3 linked regions of the Tamandua tetradactyla genome follow. The protein of the gene in region 2 purifies or fractionates together with the protein of the main gene of each other region. This does not show direct contact. Links are inferred from orthologs where the notes say so. Each region holds a gene or a part of one and is shown on either strand. Other genes may lie near its edges.

What was found.
Region 1: the proteins of NEDD1 (region 2) and tubulin gamma-1 chain purify together in Homo sapiens (affinity purification with mass spectrometry; 5 studies listed by BioGRID and IntAct, with this or other methods). This does not show direct contact. The link is inferred for Tamandua tetradactyla from reciprocal best matches to the Homo sapiens genes NEDD1 and TUBG1.
Region 3: the proteins of NEDD1 (region 2) and C13H10orf88 purify together in Homo sapiens (co-immunoprecipitation; 3 studies listed by BioGRID and IntAct, counting the BioPlex papers as one, with this or other methods). This does not show direct contact. The link is inferred for Tamandua tetradactyla from reciprocal best matches to the Homo sapiens genes NEDD1 and C10orf88.

What each region holds. Positions count from the first base shown.
Region 1 is NC_135332.1:24,615,553-24,619,299, forward strand, and holds the start of tubulin gamma-1 chain, read right to left. Parts: upstream 2,512-3,747; 5' UTR 2,100-2,511; coding exon 2,051-2,099; intron 1,728-2,050; coding exon 1,615-1,727; intron 1,420-1,614; coding exon 1,252-1,419; intron 400-1,251; coding exon 331-399; intron 58-330; coding exon 1-57. Other genes in the region: RETREG3 (reticulophagy regulator 3), read left to right, coding at 2,520-2,758. UniProt on the Homo sapiens protein: Tubulin is the major constituent of microtubules, protein filaments consisting of alpha- and beta-tubulin heterodimers. Gamma-tubulin is a key component of the gamma-tubulin ring complex (gTuRC) which mediates microtubule nucleation.
Region 2 is NC_135333.1:166,928,753-166,932,499, reverse strand, and holds the start of NEDD1 (protein NEDD1), read right to left. Parts: upstream 2,851-3,747; 5' UTR 1,133-2,850; coding exon 1,114-1,132; intron 1,021-1,113; coding exon 877-1,020; intron 1-876. UniProt on the Homo sapiens protein: Required for mitosis progression. Promotes the nucleation of microtubules from the spindle.
Region 3 is NC_135339.1:85,541,289-85,545,035, reverse strand, and holds the start of C13H10orf88 (ATPase PAAT), read right to left. Parts: upstream 2,319-3,747; 5' UTR 2,236-2,318; coding exon 1,961-2,235; exon of another isoform or gene 1,956-1,960; intron 1,210-1,955; coding exon 1,006-1,209; intron 1-1,005. Other genes in the region: uncharacterized protein LOC143654403, read left to right, coding at 2,319-2,594. UniProt on the Homo sapiens protein: ATPase that regulates mitochondrial ABC transporters ABCB7, ABCB8/MITOSUR and ABCB10. Regulates mitochondrial ferric concentration and heme biosynthesis and plays a role in the maintenance of mitochondrial homeostasis and cell survival.

The sequences.
Region 1 (3,747 bases), on a different chromosome or scaffold from region 2:
GTAGGAACCCAGGCCAGAGCCTGTCCCCCCAGCGATGGAATGACACAGCACAAAGCCCTGCATGGGGAAGGGGGAGTCAGTGCCCAGATCTCTAGAGGCAGGATTTCAAACACGGCCCATTCACCAATTTCTTAGACTCTTATCCCTCCACTTCCCTCCCCCCCCACCCTGCCCCCGCCACACACACAAGTTTAGGAGACTGTCCTATCTCCAGCAAGGCTCAGTGGTTTCTGCCTGGGGCAAAGGGTCTTGTGCCTAATAGGTGGCTCTTTAAGGATGTTGCTGAGCCTTCCCCACCTTGGTTCCCACCAACTTTCATGGACCACTCACCTCTAGACTGTCACTGCCATCTGCCTCCCTGTCTATGATGTCAAAAATGTCTTCATGGATCTTCTCTCCCTGTAGAGCCATGGAGTCAGAGCGGGACAGAATGAAAGGACAAGGACTCTGACCTCAGAATAACCACCCCCGATTTTCTTTACAGCACCCAAAGTTCTTTTCTAGAGAGCCACTGGTCCATTTTTCATTTATATTTAGAGGTAGTACAGTCCAGTGGTTACAAGCAGGCATTTCATATTGAGACTGCCTGGCTTCACATATTAGCTCTTTTTTTATTTATCTGAGTGACTCTGGGCAGGTTACTTAAACTCTCTATGCCTCAGTTTCCTCATTTGTAAATGAAAAGTGATAATAAAGGGCACTAGCCCTTTATTCAAAATCCTTGGGTCCAGTTATGTTTCAGAATGTAGAATATGTCAAATTTTAGGAAGGAGATATGATACATATGATATATACCTATAGTGGGGGTCTCAGGCATTTAATCAAATACATTAATATTTCTGCAATGAAAGGTCTGAGTATTCATGATATGTTGAATAGAATGCATAAATAACTTCATCTCCACTGAGCTTTAGGTTTGCTGCTAAATGAGTTATGAGATTTACTTTTGGTTTCAGATTTTTAGGACTCTGGAAAGGCAGACAAGAGACTGTGGACCTGTAGTATCTACCTCATAGTGCTGCTGGAAGTTTAAATAAGTTAATATAAGCACAGCTCTTAGATGCCTGGCACAGAGCACTAGCTAGAGTAGGCTTTTAAGATTACATAATTAACTTAAAAAGAACTGAACTTCCCTCAGCCATATCTATCACCCTCCAGCACACATACATCCCAGATCTAGTTCTGGGAAGTCACAGGGCTGTCACCACACAAGGAGAGAGTTGTGGGCCCTGCCAAGGAATAGTAAATGACCTGGGAGAATCCACTGGCCCAGTTGTTGCCTGCTCCTCCACCATGCTCCGACAGGTAGATGTTCTCTGGGTTGTAGAGCTTGGCGTAGGGGGAGTTGAGGATGGAGTGGATCACCCGGGGCTCCAGGTCCAGCAGCACGGCCCGCGGGATGTAGTGCTCATCATCTGCCTGACCAGGGGAGTCCAGGCCGGGACTCAGTCAGCTGGGGCCTGCCCAGTGCTCCCACCGCCCAACCCTGGCTCCTGCCTGCCCTCCCTCCTCAAGCCCTGGCCCTTCTGCCAGCCGGTTTCCAGATCCTAGGCCAGTGCCCTTCCCTTCAGGACCCCTGAACCACGGCGGCCCTGGCCAAGTCGCTGGGGGCACCTGGTAGAAAAAGACGTCCTTGCGGTCAGTGCCTTCGGTGGCGAACTCCTCCACGATGCCCTCGGGGCTGATACCATGCTCCGCGCACAGCTGTTTCCAGAACTCGAACCCAACTGGGGAGAGGGGCATGGGGTGTCGGAAAGAGCCTGTGGGTCTAGGCAGGTTCCAGTTAAGAGCTGGAGGACTGGGCGTCTGAGTCAAGGATATTAAGTCAAGTCTCAGGATTCGCCCGTGTCTGAGATATGGGCTGTGGGTGCTGTATAAGAGCAACTGAACAAGGAGGGCCCCTCGGGGTTGGGCAACTGGACACCAGGTCAGGGACGCCCCGCATTTTGGAGAACGACGATTTTGGGAAGGGGGGACTGAGTCTAGGATCCCATAGTGAGATCCTAAAATCTAAGAACCCGGCTGGTGGAGGGGCCGAAGGTTCGCTCACTCTGATTGCCGCATTGGCCCAATTGCAGGGTGATGATTTCCCTCGGCATCGTTCCTCAAGTACCGGCGTTGTAGCCGCTATCGCCAGCGACACCTCCACTCGCCAGCCCGCTGGCTCCAAGACGCAGGCGCCAAATAACCATTCCCCCGCCCAACCTCCCCGTTCCCGCCCCATGAACTTTCTGCGCTCCAATGAGAACTGAGTTCTGCAGCTAGCTCTTCCTTATTCCTACGGCTTCAGCAATGCAGACTACGCGTGCGCGGCTCTGAATCGGGCTCTGAGAACTTTGGCATTGAGGGCGTCGCTTGACGCAGCGTCCTTCCTTTCCTCTGGATGGTCGCGTACTTGAGGCTTTGCGCAAGCGCTGTGGAGGGAAGCGGCTTCTCCCGCCGAATAGCGCGACTGCGCAGTTGATGTTATTGTGACTGTCGGGCCGTGTGGCCCCGGATGTTGTGGCTGCCTGGGGCAGATGGCGGAGGTTGAGGGGGTGGCCGCTGCCCCAGGCCCAGCTTCGGGGCCGAATTTCAGGGGCCGTCGCACTATGTCAGGCTCTCGGGAGCGGGACCAGCAGGTTGAAGCGGCGCAGCAGGCGCTGGTGGAAGTGCTGGGGCCTTACGAGCCTTTGCTGAGCCGGGTACAGGCAGCCCTGGTGTGGGAACGACCAGCCCGGAGTGCCCTGTGGTGCCTGGGGCTGAACGCAGCTTTTTGGTGAGAAAATTGGAAACTCTCCGAATCGCTTATTCGCCAGGTTTCTTTAGAGCTCTCCCTCTCGTCTCCCGTTTTCTTTTTCCTGTACCTAATTTTGCCTCACCTTCTTTCATCTTTTACCGCCTCCGGTTTCGGCACCCCAGTTCTCCCCTGGGCCTTCCAGCTATCTTCTCTCTTTTTTTTCCCACCTGCTCCCGCCGCGTTGTCCCGGACATTTGGCAGGACTTTTGATGACATCTTGAGCCGTTCACGGTGGTCGACAGCTCCTCTTTTTAGCTAGGAAAAGCTGTGTCCCCTTAAGGCCATCACGTCTTTTGTTTGCTCAAGTGCGGTTTTAAGACTGTCTTCAAAGGTTTTGGTAATTATTGTTGGAGTAGAGGAGTATCCATAGGTGGGATAAAAAGCAAGTTTGAGCGATCTGAATTAGCATTAGATTTGCCTTCTCTCAGGGGAATTTGTGAAGTCAGAGCGTCAATAAGAGCCTCCAAAGCTGCAACTTGTAAAAAAAATTACAAGCTTTTAAAAAACAGTTATGAAATAATGATTGTAAGATTTCACCCGTTTCAAAGCCGCTTAAAACTGCAACTCTTCCCTATGCATCTTTGGCCACGGATCGTAGGCAAGGAAATTGAGGTTGTCTGATAGTGTGTATGAGTTTCCCTGAGCTGGAAAAGTGGCACTATAAAAATGCTTCAAGACTCTCTGTATGTGTCATGCATGCTCCGTGAAAATGTAACTGCCGTTGTCACTTGTTATCACCTAAAATGAGTTTAGGATTAAATAGGTTCTTTCAAGAATAGTTTGTATTCATAACTAAGAAAATATTATTGGTCAAATTTAAATGGATTGCAGGAGCTTCTACATGTGAATAAGACTATTCTGGATTATCCTTAAACAAAACAACGTTTGTGTGTGTGTGTTTTCCCTTAAAAATAACTTTCCTCTCAAAAGTCTTGCTTTTAAAACCAAAACATTTGTTATCCCTTGTC
Region 2 (3,747 bases):
TTCTAGCATACCAAGTATATACAACATTTTTATATAAAAAGTAATGAGTTGGGCGGGCCACGGTAGCTCAGCAGGCAAGAATGCTCGCCTGCCATGCCAGAAGACCTGGGTTTGATTCCCGGTGCCTGTCCATGTAAAAAAAAAAAAAAAAAACTAATGAGTCCTTGGTTTACAGCCGTGGTCCTCACAGGGGTGATTTTGCCTTTCAGGTGAACTACGGCAATGCCTGGAAACACTTGGGTTGCCATAACTGCAGACTACTGGGTAGAGGTCAGGGAAGCTTCTAAATATCCTACAGTGCACAGGAGAGCCCCTAAAACAAGGAATTAATCAGCCCAAAATGTCAACAGTGTCAAGATTAAGAAACCCTGGTTTCACTCCCCTTATTTATTTTATCCACACTTAGGAGTTCACTAAAACAGGGAGGGCATGAAAAGAAACATAAAAAAGCTTAGGAAAATTCAATGTGAACATGAATTTCACTCTATTTAAGAAATGAGGTTATTTTCATCACAGATTGGAGAGAAATAAATGAGTACATCAGCAAGATGGAATGCTGGACAACCTTTGCTTCTGCTTTATTTCTGTCTTTAATTTCCAGACTAGATACATAAATACCCATATGTAGATGCAAAAGTTCAGCCCAAAACCTTTTGGAAGTTTCCCCCACCATTACATTATTCCATTTGATTCATTAACAGTTGATAACATAATTAACTCTACAGTCTAGATTCTGGTACCTAAGGTGGCTTTTTTTTTTCAATGTAAGTGGGCTGAAATGTAAATGTTTTACAACGAAATCTAACAGAATAGATTCAAGAATGCACCTGATTGATGTACTGTATAGTAAACTGTTTATCTTTGGTAAAAGGATACTATTGCTGCTCCAACATATTGAGCTTACTCCATTTGGTGATGTGTGCGGGTTGAACTTATCCACCAAAGTCAGAGATGAAGCATCCCATATTTTAATATCATCTCCGGATGAAGCAAATCTGAGGTTTTCCTGCATGACTGCACCTACAAATAGTTTAAAACAACATATATTAAAAACAACTGAGAGGTGAGGGGCAGGGTGGGGAGTGGCTCTATTGTCCCCTATGGTGAACTCACCAAAAGCAGCTGGAATCATCTTTCTAAAACACGAACCAGATCACAGTCTCCTAACTGACCTGCCCAGTGACTCCCCATAGCAGTTATAATGACAGCCAACCTTTTTCACGGGCCCCAGGGTACCTGTTCTATCACTCTCCCCCAGGTTCACCAGGCTCCAGACACACCTTGTTTCTGTTTCATGTAACAAGCTGAAGCTGAGGTCGTTCTCACCTCAGTGTCTTTGCATTTGCTACCCTCTCTACCAGGAATGATCTTCCCAAAGATTTCTCATAGCCATCTCCTTATTCACACCTCAACTCATCTGCTGAGCTCAACTGTCTCCTCTTCAAAAAGGCCTTCCCTGACCAGGGCTACAGCAGCACCTGATCAGTAATCCTCTATCCCACTACTCCACGTCATTTTTTTCATGGCATTTATCGTTATCTGAGATTCTTACTTGTTCTCCTAATAATGTCTTCCTTCCCAGACTTGATTGAAACAAAGATCCCCAAGGGGAAGGACCTGCTTACTACTTGAGTCTTGAAATGTTCCTGACACACAGTAGGCACTCAACAAATAATTATTACTTAGGTAACTTCTCTTATTAAGAAAGAAAAAAAAAGGGGTAGAACAAACTGTAACACTCCTGGGGGCCAGAGTCCAGTCACTCCCGTTTTCCAAACAACTTGCAAATTCACAAATACAGTTAAAAGAGGTGCATTTACTTGGTCTACAATACCCTCACAAACACATAATCATAACAGTGATTTCCCAAACCGCAGACAGAAGGCAGGGGAGCTGCTCTAGGCAGACACTTTAAAGTGCAACAAGTTTAACAGAAGACAGGTCAGGAAAAACCACTCAAAAGTGCGAGGGAGAAAGGGGAAGGGTGGAGGTACAGAAATACACAGCACACCCGACATTCCGGGTAAGGAAGCATGAGAGCACAGCATAGCCTTACTGATGTCAGACAGATCCCCAAGTCATCAATAAAATATCACTCTTATGTTCACTATGCCCCATTTCAGAGAACAAACATCATACATTAAAGACTGCTTTCATTCTCAAGAGAAATTAAAAAACCTTAGGTGCTTATAAAAAAGGCTAACTTTTGTTAAACTAGAAACTGGCTCAGGTGACCACCACGCTGCACCCATCAGCTAGCGAGTGCTACTAAGGCAGTGGCCTGCTGACCTGCAGACACACAGGGTCTGGACTTCGTGCCTAAACAGGTGCCCTCTGGGTCCTCTACTCAAGGAACAGTCAAGTGCTGGCACGGGGATCTCTAGGCAAAGTAAACACAACTGAAAGATCTCTCTTCAGCAACTCTACACCATCCCTGTTGACCGTGGCGTAGTGGAACTGAGTCAGGACTCAGAAAACCCGGGTTCCAAGGGACCGGCCTGGAGCGAGGGGGCAGTGACCTGGGCGGTCACTTAAGGCCCGTTTCTTTCTGTGGAAGTAGGGCGCAGGCGGCCGGGCTTTACAGCCACCTGTCCACGAGGGTCCCACAGGGGACAGGCGACGACACATGGCCCCGGGCTGGGGGTGGCAGCTAAATGAAATCACCCCGCAATCCTCAAGCCGAACCAAAGTTCTCCAACTCTGACTCGCCAAAACCGCAGCTGACGCGCAGAACTACTCAGCTGCCGCTCCCCGGAACATGCACCCAGGTGGGTCGTAACCGGGAGGCTCGCGGGGGCCGGGCACACTTGAGGACAGGGCCAAACTTTGCGGAGACAGCGCGCTCCCCGGGGCTGCCCTCCTCCGCCCCACAGGGGACCCCAGCGACCTCCCGGACCGGAGCGGAGGTCACGCAGGCGGAGGCGAGGGACCCGGGTCGCGGCCCCGCACCCCGTCGGGCGCACTATCGCGTCCGCCGCGCCCCTGCCCGCCCGGCCACGGCCCGCAACCCTCGCCCGGCTGGGCGCGCGGCGTCCAGGGGCCTTCGACCCGCCGAGTGAGATGGCCGGAGGGCGGCGCGCACGCGGGGGGCAGCGGCCTGCGGACCCCGGGCCCGCCAGCGCCTCACCTCAACACGACGGCAGAGCCGGCACCGCGCCCGGCCCGCTCCTGCGCTGGGCTTCCGGCTCCCGCCTAGACGGTTAAACTTCAGCGGCCGGAAGTCCCGCCCCGCGGGCGGCAGGGGGCGGGCCCGCCCCTGGGCGAGGTCGGTGAGCCGGGTCGCGCGGGAAGCGCCTGGTTGGGCGGCGCCTGTGAGCCGCGGCCGCGCGCTCTGCCCCCCGGGCTGCGCCTTCCGCGCGCGTTTGTTCGCTGAGCGCCTGTTGCGCGCCAGGCGCCGCTGGACTTGCGTGCACAAGTGAGGGCTGGGTCTTGGGACTACAGAGGTCCAGTGAACGCTTGTGGAGCCTGAAGTTAATAAATAATTACATATAAGACATGACCCCCAAAATAACCTCTTAGTTATCCTGCTGCAAAACCCTTGACCTTTCTTTCACATCGTGCTGAGAGGTGTGGGACACTAAATACCACCTGATTCAAGTGCTTCTCTGCGTGGAAATAAGAGAAGCTGAACTGAGTTTCCAAGTACCCCCTCTAACAGGGCCTTTTTAAACTCTAATGACAATTTCGGCTGAGAAAACTTATAATAAATATATGGCATTTCTTCTGCAAACTATTATTATTCTTTCA
Region 3 (3,747 bases), on a different chromosome or scaffold from region 2:
TCTTCAAGAAGCAGTTATAGGACAAATACCAGAGTTTGTCATGGGCTACCATATCATCATCTCAGAATTTTCCTTCCAGCTGCTCCAGAACATTGGAGGCTAGAAGGAATATTTTTTTATCTTCACAAGTGACTTTTTTTTTCTTTTGTGAAAAATAATGCATATACAAAATAGCAATAAATTTCAAAGCACATCACAACAATTAGTTGCAAAACAGATTTCAGAGTTTGGTATGAAACATTAAAAATATTACATTAAAAAAATATTTCTAGACCAACACTTAAATCCTGAGATTCATTTTGCCTAGTATGACATGAAGAGCTGGTGTTCCTTACTGAAGTGGCCTGGCTACAAACAACTTTGTCTGACACACACTACCACGTGTGAGAGAAATAAATGAGCTAATCTACATAAAATCATATACCACAACAGCATATCATAAAGATCAATAAATGTGGCTGTTATTTCCAATATGCCCAATATATAAAAGTTCATATTTCGAGTTATACTGAGACATATGCAACTTTATGAGACCAGAGAAATTATCAAATATAAGAGGCATAAATATGGATTAAATAGGCTGGTGTGATACAGTCTTGGACTCATGCCCCATTCATGATGGCCTTCCTACCAGAATATATGTTCAAAGTTTTAGACTGGCCAAGGGGATAATTTCTGGAAAACAATCCATTGTGAGCTTATAGAAAGATCCAAGAAGCAAAAATAAGTACTGCACTCTGGTCTAGACAGTTTCACTAACTAACAATGCCCCTCTACCCTGTCACGTCCCCTCTATTAGCTACAAATGGTCACATTTATAAAAATGGGAAGGCATATCTAGACTGTCTTTAAGCTACCTTAAATGTCTCATGTTCTTTGCCTGCTTATATGTTTTTATCTCCTTTCCCTAATTCTGACACTAATGTGAGAGAACCAATAACTACTGTAAAAGTTGAGGAAAACACACAAACTCAGAGGACACTTGTGCATGTGTCACTGACAAACCTGCTATCCAGGACAGTACAGATATCCCTGCCCCTACTGGTTCCACAGTACTCCTCTCCTGAATATACTTCCATATTTCTTGCTGAACTTAAAATGCCAATAGAAACGACTTCTTCACCGCCATTAGGATCACACTGCAGGTATAGGAAACAGGGGTTTTCCTCTTGGCTGTTCAGTTTCCTCTTCAAAATTACCAGATCCTGGCTAAAAAGAAAATTGTTAAGAATATTACACAGTATAGTTCTTTGAACACTTCTCATGAATATATACACAGTATAATTCTTTGAACCCTTCTCATAACCCCTGATTAGACCATTTTTCTTCCTCCTTCACTTTCATTTGCCCTTGAGGTCCAACCATCTTGCTGAGCACCTAACAAAGGCTCGATACAGAATTCACAAAGACATGGCTGCTTTAGACATCAGGGCTTTCCCCTCCTTTTTTCCCCTGACCATCTGCATTCTACTCAGGTCCCTCTAATTGCTGCCATTGCAACCTACCCTCGGCAAAGCAGCTGTAGGCAGAAACGAATAAAGGACAAAAGTCTTATCTTTTTCAAACTTACATTGGTGGAGATTCTCCCTAGCAGGGTCTTTTTCTTAAAGCCTGTTTTGGTGGAAGTGGTTTTTACCTGTTGGTTCATTTGGGGAGCGAGGGGATTCTGACTCTGACAGGAGCCCCGATGAGCCCTGGTGACCGAGTGTTCAGGTCACCTTCCCACCCACCCCCGACACCCTCCCTCCCCGCGTCCTGCGGGGACCCCGGCCCCGCCCCCGCGCGGACCCGGACCTCACTCCAGCCCGCAGCCCGCGGTTAGGCTTCCCCCTCGCGCGCTCCGTTCCCGGATCCCGGGCCCAGACCCTCAACCCCTCCCGGTCCCTCTGTCCCTTACGGCCCCTACAGGAGCGTGGCTGTCACAGGGCGCAGCTCCCCAGTCCCAGCCGGCCCGGCTTACCTCAGAGCAGGCGGCGCCAGCAGCTCTTCCCTATCGAAATCCGTGGGACCCAGGCCATCCCGGGTGAGAAGGAGGCTGCGGGGCAGGGCTCCGCACGGGGCCTCCCAGGAAGAGGCCAACATCGGGCGGCGAGTCAGTCTCCGGTCCTCCATCCCTGTCTCCATTTCGCCGCCTCCACCCCAGGCCAGATCCGGAACCTTTCTTTCAGTGCTTGAGTTTCCTGCAGTGCGCATTTGGACAGAGGAAGCAGAGCAACTTCCGGCTTGTTCTGCCATCGACCAAAGCACGCCGCCTGCCTCTGACTGGGAAGGATGGACAGGCGAGTGCGGATACCCAGCTACCGTAAACACGCACGCGCATGCCCCGCCGCTTCAGGAACGGCGTCAAGAGCGGCGAAGAGCGGCGAGCCGGCGCAGCGGCGACACCGAGGCCTGCTGGGGGGTCCTCTGCGCAGGCGCCGCGAAGGACGCGCGGGAACGTGGTCTCTTTATCCGGGTTGGCCTCGGAGCAGAGGACACACCTGTGCCCGGCGGTTGCTGACGGTTCGGCTCCCAGGACAGGATCAGTCTTGAGGCATGTGGCCTTGGCCCTCCACGCGGCCTGGAAGACTTCGTCCCCAGCTGCGTCCTTTTTTGTTCGTTTTCTTTCTTCCTTTTTTTTGTATGCTGTGCGGTGGGGGACACAGTTCATTCGTTTCCACGTGAATATCCCGTTATGGCAGCACCATTTGTTGACAAAAAAAAAATTTTTTTTGGAGTGCTTGGGCCGAATGGGACAGGGTCTCCGCATCTGCCATTATTTCTTGAGTGGATGGCAGAGACTTGTTCCAGTGTGCAGCCAGTAGGGCTGTGCCTCTGCTGCATTTGGGATGGCCACTGGCCGGCAGGCTACTGTTTTTGGGTTATTTTTACCTTTCACTTTCGCAGACACACTCTTTCCCCTCCTTATCCCCCCAGGGGGGTTGAGATTTGCCCCTAACACGGGGAAGATTTAGTGCCCTTGACTGGGCATGTTTTGCAGCGGTAGGTGGTCTGAAGAAGCTTTTACCTGGGCCTTTAGGATGTTACCAATTTAGCTTGAGGCATGAATGCCATAATAACTGAATGGAGGCAGGGGTGACCTCATACTACCAGCCTCTGGTGGTTTCTGGTAGCCAGAGTTGGACACTTTGCATAACAGAAATCAGAGAGTCGTGAAAGATGTGGGTGGAAAGGGGAGGGGCTGTGCTGCATTGTCCTCCTGCCATAGGGAAGCATGAACAGCAGCAGGGCCTGGAATTTCTGTGGATGTAGAGCTGAACCGAGATTGAAGGACCTTTTGCATGTTGGAAACGGAAAAGTGGAAATGAGATGGAACTTCCCAGATTGCTTGTGGACTAGGAAGGTAGATGACACCTGTTTCTGTTTGCTAAAGCTGCCAGAATGCAATATACCAGAAATGAATTGGCTTTTACAATGGGAATTTATCTTCTTAGAATTGACAGTTCTTAGGCCATGAAAATGTCCAGCTCAAGCCATCAATAGTATGATACCTGGACTCGGAAGAAAGGCTGCCGGTATCTGAGACACCTCTGTCACATGGGAAGACACTTGCTGGGCATTAGTTGGTCCTTTGTTCCTGGGTCTCGTTGCTTTCAACTTGAGTCCAGTGGCTTTCTCCTTGAGTGTTTGTGGGTCCTTAGCTCCTCTGGGGCTTTTCTTTCTCAGGCCTCTCAGTGTTTAACTCTTTAAGCTCTCTCTGGGTGTTTCTCTCTCAGCTCTTAGGGCTTTTTCTGTCCTTCATCATCT